Rattus norvegicus: one gene and its partners. The protein of the gene in region 3 purifies or fractionates together with the protein of the main gene of each other region. This does not show direct contact. Links are inferred from orthologs where the notes say so. Each region holds a gene or a part of one and is shown on either strand. Other genes may lie near its edges. The genes, in order: Psmg1, Psma6 and Pomp.

Evidence for each region.
Region 1: the proteins of Pomp (region 3) and Psmg1 purify together in Homo sapiens (affinity purification with mass spectrometry; 4 studies listed by BioGRID and IntAct, with this or other methods). This does not show direct contact. The link is inferred for Rattus norvegicus from reciprocal best matches to the Homo sapiens genes POMP and PSMG1.
Region 2: the proteins of Pomp (region 3) and Psma6 purify together in Homo sapiens (affinity purification with western blotting; 4 studies listed by BioGRID and IntAct, with this or other methods). This does not show direct contact. The link is inferred for Rattus norvegicus from reciprocal best matches to the Homo sapiens genes POMP and PSMA6.

Annotation. Positions count from the first base shown.
Region 1 is NC_086029.1:48,752,125-48,755,780, forward strand, and holds the start of Psmg1 (proteasome assembly chaperone 1), read right to left. Parts: upstream 2,917-3,656; 5' UTR 2,891-2,916; coding exon 2,754-2,890; intron 1,336-2,753; coding exon 1,229-1,335; intron 1-1,228. UniProt on the Homo sapiens protein: Chaperone protein which promotes assembly of the 20S proteasome as part of a heterodimer with PSMG2.
Region 2 is NC_086024.1:78,524,286-78,527,933, reverse strand, and holds part of Psma6 (proteasome subunit alpha type-6), read right to left. Parts: intron 2,854-3,648; coding exon 2,698-2,853; intron 1,304-2,697; coding exon 1,125-1,303; intron 1-1,124. UniProt on the Homo sapiens protein: Component of the 20S core proteasome complex involved in the proteolytic degradation of most intracellular proteins. This complex plays numerous essential roles within the cell by associating with different regulatory particles.
Region 3 is NC_086030.1:12,200,749-12,204,396, forward strand, and holds part of Pomp (proteasome maturation protein), read right to left. Parts: intron 3,439-3,648; coding exon 3,337-3,438; intron 1-3,336. UniProt on the Homo sapiens protein: Molecular chaperone essential for the assembly of standard proteasomes and immunoproteasomes. Degraded after completion of proteasome maturation. Mediates the association of 20S preproteasome with the endoplasmic reticulum.

The DNA of each region.
Region 1 (3,656 bases), on a different chromosome or scaffold from region 3:
TCATGAGATCGCCCGTCTGCCTGGGGGCTGGAGAGACCGTTCAGAGTTCACTCTGACAACTTCTCTTGCTGTGCCTCAGTTTGGTTCCCAGCATCCAGCCCTGGTGACTCACAACCGTCTGTAATTCTAACTCTGGGGATCTGGTGCCCTCCTCTGGCTTATGCTCTTGAGTAAGCCCACACACAAAAATATGCTCATAATTAAATTTTGTTGTTGGGTGTTTTGTTTTTCAAAACAAGGTTTCTCTATGTAGGCTTGGCTGTCCTAGAACTCCATCTGTAGACCAGGCTAGCCTTGAACTCATGAAGTCCACCCATCCTGCCTCCTAAGTACAGTATGGATTAAAGGAGTACACCACCATACCTGCCATAAATTTCTTTTTAAAATATTATAGACCATCCAACTGGACCACTTTGGAGCAAACAAAATTTGAGGCTGAGGAGTGAAAGTCTACACTCTCCACACAAAACTACAAACAGGGACTGGAAAGGCAGGCGACAATGTCTGCAGAGTTTGTACTAGTCTCACAATGGAACACTCCTCTAAAACAATTAGGCAAGCAGACCTTTATATAACGGGTGAGCCTACTGTTACTTACACAATCTCTAAAGTCCTAGGGCTCACTTACAGAGCAAGAGCTCTTAACTAGAGTTCCCAAATGATTTCCTCAGAGCCTGTTAACCCACTGAAGTTACAAAGGTCTCCACGTGTACTGACATACAACACTGTTCCAAGCAAACTCACATTATTCCACTTTCAACCTACCAGGTCAATAAATGCATTCAAAGACCTTAGAACTGAAGTGTTCCAGATGCTTACGATTACTGCTAGACGTGTGGACACAGCAGGCTGGAAAACGGGGCCTAGAACTGTAATTCTGAAGCTAAGCGTATTTCCTTTAAATCTCATTACAAAGATGGAAAAACAGGCAATCTACCTTACTTGAAATGACTGTGGCTGTTTAAGACAGGGCCTTGTGGAGCCCGGCTCGGTCTTGGAACTTCTCCGTGCTCCCATCTGCCATCTCCCGCCTGCTGAGGGCTAGGGTTGCACAGCGCCCAGTTCATACAGTATTGGGATTCGAACCCAAGGTCCTGTGCTTCATAGGCAAGCACTGTGCCACCTGAGCCACACGCCCAGGGCCTGCTGGGATCCTTTTAAAATACATACGAGATGTAGGAAGAAACATTCTTCCAACAGGACGTCTACCCCTGACACTGGCGCTTACCCGTGGCGTTACTTCCTACTGCAAGGATGAACTTGGAGCAAGGGTGCTTCTCTAGGAGCACAGCCTCCAGACATGTTTCTGTCTGTCTTCGGAGAAGCTTCACCTCCCTGACAGCAAGAGACAAAAGTAAACAAATGTCACTCACTGTAACGACCGTCACACTGGAAGAGATGGTAATAGAATGACAGACAGACAGATTAAGAGAAAAGTGACAGATGCTATATAGAACTGGATGCACACATAGATGGAAGACAGATGAGATCGATGGTGGACAGACATGCGACTTATATAGATATGGTAGGCAGGTGCAATATACACAACGTATATACACAGATGGGTAAATAGGTAGGTGACAGAAGAGAGATGAGTGGATAGCTGGATTGATAGATGGTATTAGATAAAAGAAACGGTGTCCTGGGTGGCCTGGCGAATGGAAATACTGTAGGCTCAGGCAATGACTACTCACAGACTCAATGAGTAAAACTACTAACAAACTTCATACAAGCATCTCAAACACTCCTGCCAGCAAAATGCTTAACGTGGCCAAGTGTCCAAACAAACGTTGAAGCATTTAGTTGTGACAAAAGCAAGTGAAGCCTGACCATCGGACAAGTCGAGGCTCTCGGGAAGAGTTTGAAAAGGGAGAGGGGACCCAGAGCTAACCCTGTAGCACAGCTTTCAGTACCCAAATCCTGACAGGAGAGAGCTGGTCACCCAGGGGTGTTGACACAGAGGCTTATAGGAGGATCATGCCACAGTCAGAGATAGCAACACCAGCTAACACCAGAGAAAACCAGGTGAGAGGCAAGTGCAAGAACCAAAAATGAGGGGGGGTGGGTAGGTGGTGAGGGGGTTGTTGTAAATGAAACAGAGTGCCAAAAGTGTCTGTAGTTGACAGAAATCACCAGAAAGTATATTTTAAAAATCTAGGTGAATTTGATTGTGAACTGGTATGACACTGAAAACTTATTAGCATATCTGGGGCAGGGAAGGTGCTAAGTTGCCACCACAACCATGACGACCCAAGTTCTGATCCCAGAACCCACCTAAATGTCGAGAGTGAAGGTTCTGGGAAAACAGGATAATCTCTTATGGTCTGGAGGTCAGCCAGTGAAGCAGAAACAGTGAGGTCTGGGTTCAATTTAAGATTTCTCAAAAAGGTGGTAAACGCCACCGGGCACCCAACTCCAACCTCTGGTCCAGCAACAAACAAACAAAATAAATGAATACGCATAAAGACAGCATGCTTAGGAAGAGTTTCCTAACTGGAAACTAGTAGGGGTGGTGTGAGAAAAAATGGATGTGGTAAAACCTTGGCCAAGGGGCCGGCATAACCTCATTTCTGTGTATTTAACAGTAGTTTTGCAAGAAATACGGCGGACACGCGGCGTAACCTAAAGCGTAGGGTGGAGGGAGGGCAAGCATTGCTGGGTTGTCAGCGTCCCAGCGTGAACGCAGGGCACTCGGCAGGCCAACACCGCCTGATGCTCGCCCCGCCGGTGGGGAGGCCTTCCCGGAGCCTGACCTCTTCCGCGCAAGCTTCCGCCGGACCTCCCGGTCCTCCGGCGTGTCCCGCCTGCTCTGCTCCTCCTCCTCTTCCTCCTCCTCAGTCCCAGCTCGGCATGGCCCCTTCACCACCTCACCAAAGAACGTAGCAGCCATGGCACCTCAGCCCCGCGCGGCCAGACGGCGCCTGCGCGCCGGCCCCAGCCACGCCCTTCAGACCACGCCCCCGACCCGCCTGAGCCAGGCCACGCCCTCAGCCTGGGTGAAGGTCTCAGAACTTCCGGTCCGCCGCGGGATCTGTTCCGCGGCGCGCTTCCGTCACCCTGCTGACCCGGGCACGCAGGGCCCGCTCCACATCCCGCCGCCCGCCTGCAAGGACCCACCCGTGGAGGAAACCCAGAGCTGCGAGTGAAGCACAGACAGCTCCAGGGGTGATGACTGCAAGCGGATCCAGAGGACATGAGTGAAGCTGCAAGGCTAGGCTTTTTAAAAACCTGGCCATGTGTAACTCATATACACTGTTTTCTTTTTTGGTTCTTTTTTTCGGAGCTGGGGACCGAACCCAGGGCCCTTGCGCTTCCTAGGCAAGCGCTCTACCACTGAGCTAAATCCCCAACCCAGTTTTCTATTTTAATGACAGAAAGAATGTGTTTTTCTGGCTTGTGTGCTGGAAGACAAAAAAACTCTACCGAATACTGCTCTCACAAGAGCAAACGACTACGAGGAAAAAGGAAACTGGGACCTCAGTGGGAAATAAAAACACATTCTAGATTTACTTGCGAGGAAATAGGGTCTGCCTTGCCTAAATAGGGTCTGTTTAGTAAAATATAACTAAAGTAAGTAAATATTTCGGGATCGGGGACGTTTTAAAATCAAAACTCTTGGGAAGTTGTTTAAAATCTCTCACGATGTAGAAAAACGA
Region 2 (3,648 bases), on a different chromosome or scaffold from region 3:
GTCCTGAGTTCAAATCCCAGCAACCACTACAGTGTACTTATATATAATAAATAAATAAATCTTTAAAAAAAAAAAAAAAAAGTTGGTCTGTTTGAGAAAGGCCTTGCTTTACAGCCCTGACTATTCTGGACTCACTACATAGACCAGGCTGGCCTCAGGCTTACAATGATCCTTCTGCCTCCGTCTCTTGCGTGCTGGGATTACATATGTACACCACCATATCCGTATAAAAAAGACTTGTATGCGGGTGTCAATGTCAAGGACAGCCTTAGGAGCAGGGTTTCTCACTGGCCTGAACTAAGCGTGGCTGGGCTGGCCAGCAGTGCTACGATCTCAGCATGTGTCATGGTAAGTAGGTTTTGTTTGTTTGCAATGAAGGTTCTGAGGTCTGACCCGAGATCCTTGAGATCCTTGAGCTTACGAGATAAGCACTTACCTGAGCTCTTTCAGCCCTCTGCTCACATATTCTTTTACTAAGAAACACTTTGCTCTCCAAGAACTTGGTTTGTAGCTGCTTTTATTTAGGACTATGAAAATAATTATTACTGGATCAGCAAGACAGCTCACTGGGCAAAGGTGCTTCCTGCCAAAGCTAACTGGGTCCAATCTAGAAGTCCTATGGTAGAAAAGAACTGTCTCCTGCAAACTGGTCCTCACTCCTATGAGTGTCGTGGCAGATGCGCACACACGCACGCGCGCGCACACACACACACACACACACACACACACACACACACACACACACACACACAAATAAATATTTTTTTAAAGAATAAATGTTAACAAAACAATATTACCAAATCTTAGTGGTTATACTTGTTATCCAAAAAGTTTAACCCAATTTGAGTCTACTAATCATATAACCACACCAGTCTTTGAGTCTAGTCTTATTTCCCTATTTTGTGTTTTTGAAGTTTCCCATGAAGTGTGAAGGTAGAGATTAAAATGAATAAAGCAGTCCCCCTTCCCCCCATGTGAGCTGAATGATATCAATTCTACCATCAAACTAGCACACCTGGATCTGTGACAGTGTTAGGAAACAGCTTTCGTAGCCTATCAATAACACAATGATGCTCACTCTCCCAGAGCAGGGAGAGAAGGTCCACGCCTTCCGGCTGACTTACTTCCACTGTCTGTTCAAATGTCCAATCAAATTTCTTCTTCACTTTTTTTTCGAGGAAGCTGGTTGACTCTGTCTGCTTCACTCCTGCTGCGGTGGCTTTAAAGCCACAGTAGTAGCCTGCAGGATCACACTTGTACACTTGAGGGCCTTGCTCTTCATCTATACCAATTAAAATCATACCTAAAAAGGAAGGGCCAGTTAAATATATTATGCTGTCTACAAAAATTTCCCTTTTTGGTGTTTCATATAGTTGCTGTTACTCATTATTTGGTCACTAATTTTAGGTTTATTTGTTTTCCCAAAACCGTTAAAATGTGCTTTATTACCAGTGACAGATTAGATAGCAGGCACATTTCTGTTTTGAGAAAGGATCCATCAATTGCCGTTATTTTACACAGGTTCAGCTTTCACTGAACTTGTAAGAAGTTTATTCAAAGAGACCAAAGCCCATGCCACCCCCAATCTCCTCAGATCCCTCTTTCTTTGCTGTAACAATCAAAATTCATTTTTAGAATAATTCCTGAATACAGAGGACAGATTTAGAGAGAGAAGGGACAGAACAAATAAATAAACCAGATAGGAAATAAAGGCAACAAGGCAATGAGAAAACAACAGGAGACAGGAATAGATACTCTGAAGCAACCCTCTGCCGATCCTTAATTACATGACCAGGGAGAGTAGACTGAGACTATAAAGGAGAAGCTGAGGATGCGTGTAGAACAGGAATGACTCAAAGGTCCTGAGAGATGGGAGGGATGGTTAAGAAACCAGGTAAATGACCAGCATATAGGTAGTAAGTGAAGCCCTCAAGGGGGTGAGATTAATCAGACAGCAAAGAGGAAGACAAGGTTCAAGAACAAAGCTTGTAAGTGACAACATTTAAGGGACCAATGGAGGAGCAGGACAAAAGGAACTGAGCAGAAGAGAACATTAGGAGCCAGCATACCTGTAAGCTAGTGCTTGGGAGACTGAGGCAGGAGGATCACAAATTTGAGAAAAGCTTGAACTACTCAGTAAGAGTAAGGGGGGATGGGTATGAAATCAGGGACTGGAGAGATGGCTCAGCAGTTAAAGGACACTGGCTGTTCTTCTAGAGAGGATCAGGGTTCGAGTCCCAACAATCAACCATCTCAACTCTAGTTCTAGGGACTCGATACCACACACAGAAATACAGTCAAGTTCCAGGACAACCAGGGCTACACAGAGAAACTGGAGAGGGGGAGAGGGGAAGAGGGGAAGGGGAGAGTGGGGAAGGGGGAGAGGGAGTAAGGGGGAGAAGGGGCGGAGGGGGAGGAGACAAACCATATCTTTACTCAGTGATCAAAAGTGGCATTGACACTGTTAAAATGCCTGAAATTACACCAGAACCCCATTACAACAGCCTAATAAAATAGAACTTTCAAATCACATAGCCTAAATAGAAATATTTTGATTAAAAAATGAATAGAACTCAAAAGCTGTAATTTCAAACTTCATGTTCAGAACTCATGTGGCCTCAGTTTCTTTATACATGTTCTCTAAAGACAATTACAACTCCTTAGACAGTTCCTTAGAAGATTTCTGAGCATACTTACAACAACCAAGTGGCCTCATTTCAGCATTCTGTGTGTAGACTTGAGAAATATCAGCAATTCTTTTACACAGCATGTCCACAGGAATCTCATAGCCATATTTGTATTTCCAGTTAGCTGCTTCATAGCGTGCCCTCTGTACCTGGGATCTGCTGTCAGCTTGAAGGATAAGCATAACCCCAAAGAGTTACCACTTTAGAAATAGAATGAATCTAAAAGCCTATTTCTCCACCACAGATATCTATGTTTATGCCAAAGACACGTTATAGTAGGACAAGGGGTTCTCTGTGGCTTTTTCTTGTGATAACGAACACTGAGTGACTTGGCTTGGAGTACATGTAACAACAGAAAGAAATTAAAACCTTTAGCTAATTTTTATACCATACTGCTCTTTTATACCAAGCCTTTCACCAGCAGTCAAAATAGTTTCTACAAGAATCCAGTGCCTGAGCTGTCTGGATGGCTCAGCAGATAAAGGGGCTTGCCAGCAAACCTGATGGCTTTGGGTTTGATCCCCAGGACCCAATGTGGTAGGAGAAAAACAACTCCCATAAGCTGCCCTCTGATGTCTACACATGCTTTCACGACACATTATGTGCACAAATAAATGTAATAATAAAAAAGTCTAATAATGGCCAGGAGCTAGTAGCACATGCCTGCCTTTAATCCTAGCACTTAGGAGGCAGAGGCAGGTGGATCTGAGTTCAAGGCCAGCCTGGTCTACCATGAGAGTTCAGGATAGACAGAGCTACACAGAGAAACTCTGTTTTGAGAGAGAGGAAAAAAATGTCTAATGACTCAAAGAATATACTTTTTAAAAAAGTTTCACGAGAAACACTATTTTTAAAAGATTTACTTTAATTTTATGTGTACCATGTGTGCCAAGTGCCCCAGAAGCCAGTAGAGATCATAGACAAGGGGATTATGTGCTGCTATGTGGGTGTTGGGACTGAA
Region 3 (3,648 bases):
CTGCCACCATATAACCCGCATGCCCACTGCCACCATATAACCCGCATGCCCACTGCCACCATATAACCCGCATGCCCACTGCCACCATATAACCCGCATGCCCACTGCCACCATATAACCCGCATGCCCACTGCCACCATATAACCCGCATGCCCACTGCCACCATATAACCCACATGCCCACTGCCACCATATAACCCGCATGCCCACTGCCACCATATAACCCGCATGCCCACTGCCACCATATAACCCGCATGCCCACTGCCACCATATAACCCGCATGCCCACTGCCACCATATAACCCGCATGCCCACTGCCACCATATAACCCGCATGCCCACTGCCACCATATAACCCGCATGCCCACTGCCACCATATAACCCACATGCCCACTGCCACCATATAACCCACATGCCCACTGCTACCATATAACCCGCATGCCCACTGCCACCATATAACCCGCATGCCCACTGAGTCTTTCTGTTGGGGAAGAGAGCACGCCCGGAGCCCACCTCGCTCCAGAGCAGAGAGACCAGGCCCCAGGAGGATCCAGGCGAGTGAGAGTCACTCTCACCTGCCAAGGGGACTGTGTGCTCCTCTGAGCTGCTCAGCACAAAGCTAAAAGGTAACCTTTGAAGATACAGTGCTAACCAGAAATGCAGACCAAACCCACTCAGGGGGACTCTAAAGTCACAGTGTCACTCCAGCAACAGGCAGGTATGGACTGGAAACCAAATGAAGCACGGGGAAAGGTTCACAAGCTGTGCAGACAGAAACATCTGGATTCACAGTCCATGATGATCACTGACCAAGCCATGGGGGAGGGGGACAGGCTGTGCAGACAGAAACATCTGGATTCACAGTCCATGACAATCACTGACCAAGCCATGGGGGAGGGGGACAGGCTGTGAGACAGAAACATCTGGATTCATAGTCTGACGATTACTGACCAAGTCATGAGGGGGCGAGTGGGGACGGGATGGGCTGTACAGACAGAAGCCATGTGGATTCACTGTCTGACAACCACTGATACAGCTCTCTGCAGGTTACCCGCCTGAAAGACCGCGCACAGTCAGGGCAGCCACTGCCGCTTGAACATGGTCATACCCATCGCCTTTATACTTTACCCAGAGTACTAGGTGATGAGCAGTGAGTGACGCCGTGACCGAAACTAATCCTGTGGTCAGTGTCTGCAGAGGCAGTGACAGGGGGACCGACCCTCACTACTCAGAGTGAGGGTACTATTCTCAGTTGCCAATAGCCTATAAACGCTACTTAGTCTTTACAGTGTGGAAAGAATTCTCCAGCTGTCATTCAAAACTGAAAAAGGAAACATGGAGAAGAGAGAAGAGGAAGAAGCAGAAATAGAAACGGGAACCTCTAAGTGGAGGAGAGTGCAAAGGATCCGGGAAGCAGAATCAAAGGTGGGGCTTGCAAAACACAATGATGGGGATCAGGAAGGCAAGGAATATACATTAGCAAAGATTTTTGACAAAATGGTATTAAAAACTCAGGCTGTCAATTTTACTAGCGATATCCAGCTCAAACCCAGGCAAAGACAGGAGACGAGGGAGGCGAAGAGCTGTGCCAAGCCTGACAACCTACACTGTTCTTCCACTTCACACCGGCTAGGAATTGAGGGTGGCTCGCAGTTACGAACCAGCTGCTCTTCCAGGGAAAACAGGCTAGCTTCCCACCACCTATAGAGGCTAAGAACCGCCTGTGAGTCAGTTCCTAGGAGATCTGGTCCCTGTGATCACTCTACACACAGTGCACAGACACACACACACCCACACACAATAAGACTAAATAAACCATAAGCAACAACAAATGTGCTCAGACTGCTACTCTCAAGTTGCTAGACTAGTTTAGACTGAAATTTAGATTAGTCTAAAACACTCAGACTCGGCCATTCTCACTTAAAGCCATTTTAGAGCAGTATTCTCGCAAAGAAGTACTTCAAGTAGCTTCCAGAACTACAAACCTACAAAAACAACGGCACTCACAGCCCTGCTGCAAGACTCAAGTCCAGCCAGGCAGAGAAAGGGTCCGTGGTAGCAGGAAACAAATACACGAAGTCCAAAGAGGGAGGCCAGGTGCCAAGGCATTAGGTGCCTGGGTTTTACCTGGAGGGCAAAGTGAGGAGTGTGACACATCGAGGTGTTTACAGTCATGGTGGGGGTGGAGGAGCAGGGAGATCTGGTAAGGACCAGGGGTGGGGGCCACAAGGCACCAAGTGAGGCAACCAGAGCTAACATTCCATCATCTGCCTTAGGTGAAACCTATTTACCCACAAGGAAGAATAATGAGTTATTCTGCACAGCCCGGGAAACCCAAGATGCCTGTGGGCCTTCCAACCAGAAAAGCAGGTCCGGAGAGTTAGAGAAAGTCAACAGCACTGAGTAACCACGAAGGACAGGCAGGAAACAGGAGGGAGAACAAAGATGGCCTCTGGCACCACCAGCATCTCAGGTGACAGACAGAAGGAACCACAGAGCTACAAATGGGTTTCAGAGAGGAAGGGGACACCAGTCTGAGGTCTACAAAAATACAGAGAAAAGGAAGGAGCTTTGAGTGTCAATCCCCCGACCCCCTACAAAAGCACACGTGCACACGTGCACACATGCGCACACGCCCTGGGAACCAGACGACACCATCTCAGAGGAGAAAGTAAAGTACAGACACGGGGAACAATGGCTTCCAGCAGGTGAACCTGGACAAGCTGACAAGTGAGGAGAGAAGTGGGGGCGAGGCGTGCTGGCACACCCCTTTAACCCCTGCACATAGTGGGCATGGGCAGGCAGGTCTCTGGGAGTTCAAGGCCAGCATGTTCTACAAAGCATGTTCCAGGCCAGTTAGAGTTACGAGGTGAGAGAAAACCTATCTCAAAAGTAATTATTAATTAATTAGGGATTGATACAATTTTACCACAGGATCTGAATGTAGGTAACAGCTTCTAAAGAGCCAAAGCAAGGAGAGAAGAAAAAGGTGTCTGCAACAGGCAGGGCTGCTGGCAAGGACCTGTTCCCTGAGGTAGGGTGACGCAATGGGGCCCAGAACCCAGGCGGGACATCTGCACAGCTACTCCTTAGCAACAGGCACGCCCAGCTGTGCCCGCACGGCTGCCCGCAGAGGGCAGAGAAGCGCAGGCAGACAGCTGCACTGTGCTCAGACACTGTATCTATGACGTGAAGCCATTTTCCACGTGACAACTTTTCCCTTATGAAGCAGTAACAAGGGTCATGTGCTACAGAGGGAGGCAGGACAGGGTGCTCAGAGGGTAAGGTCTGACATCTAGCACGAGAACATGAGCACGCGTGGGACAGGGACAGACTCACCTGCTGCACAGCCTTGAACTCCATCTGTAACTTCAGGGGAGCAAACAGGCCCTGGATGTTCCTCAGGGTGGAAAAGTTCATCTTGTCCTGGTTGAGCTGGAACTGCAGAAGACAGAGTAGCTCTAAGCTAAAAGCTTGCTGCAGAGCAACGTTGTTTTAAAAACGCAACACTGACAATCCTGAGGCCAAGAGTTGACATCCCTCTGGGATTTAAAGTGTTCATTTCTTCCTGACAGGTTTATAACACTGTATCTCTACATCTGTGTGTGGCAATGTGTACATGTGGTTTACATGTGTTCATGTACAGGTATT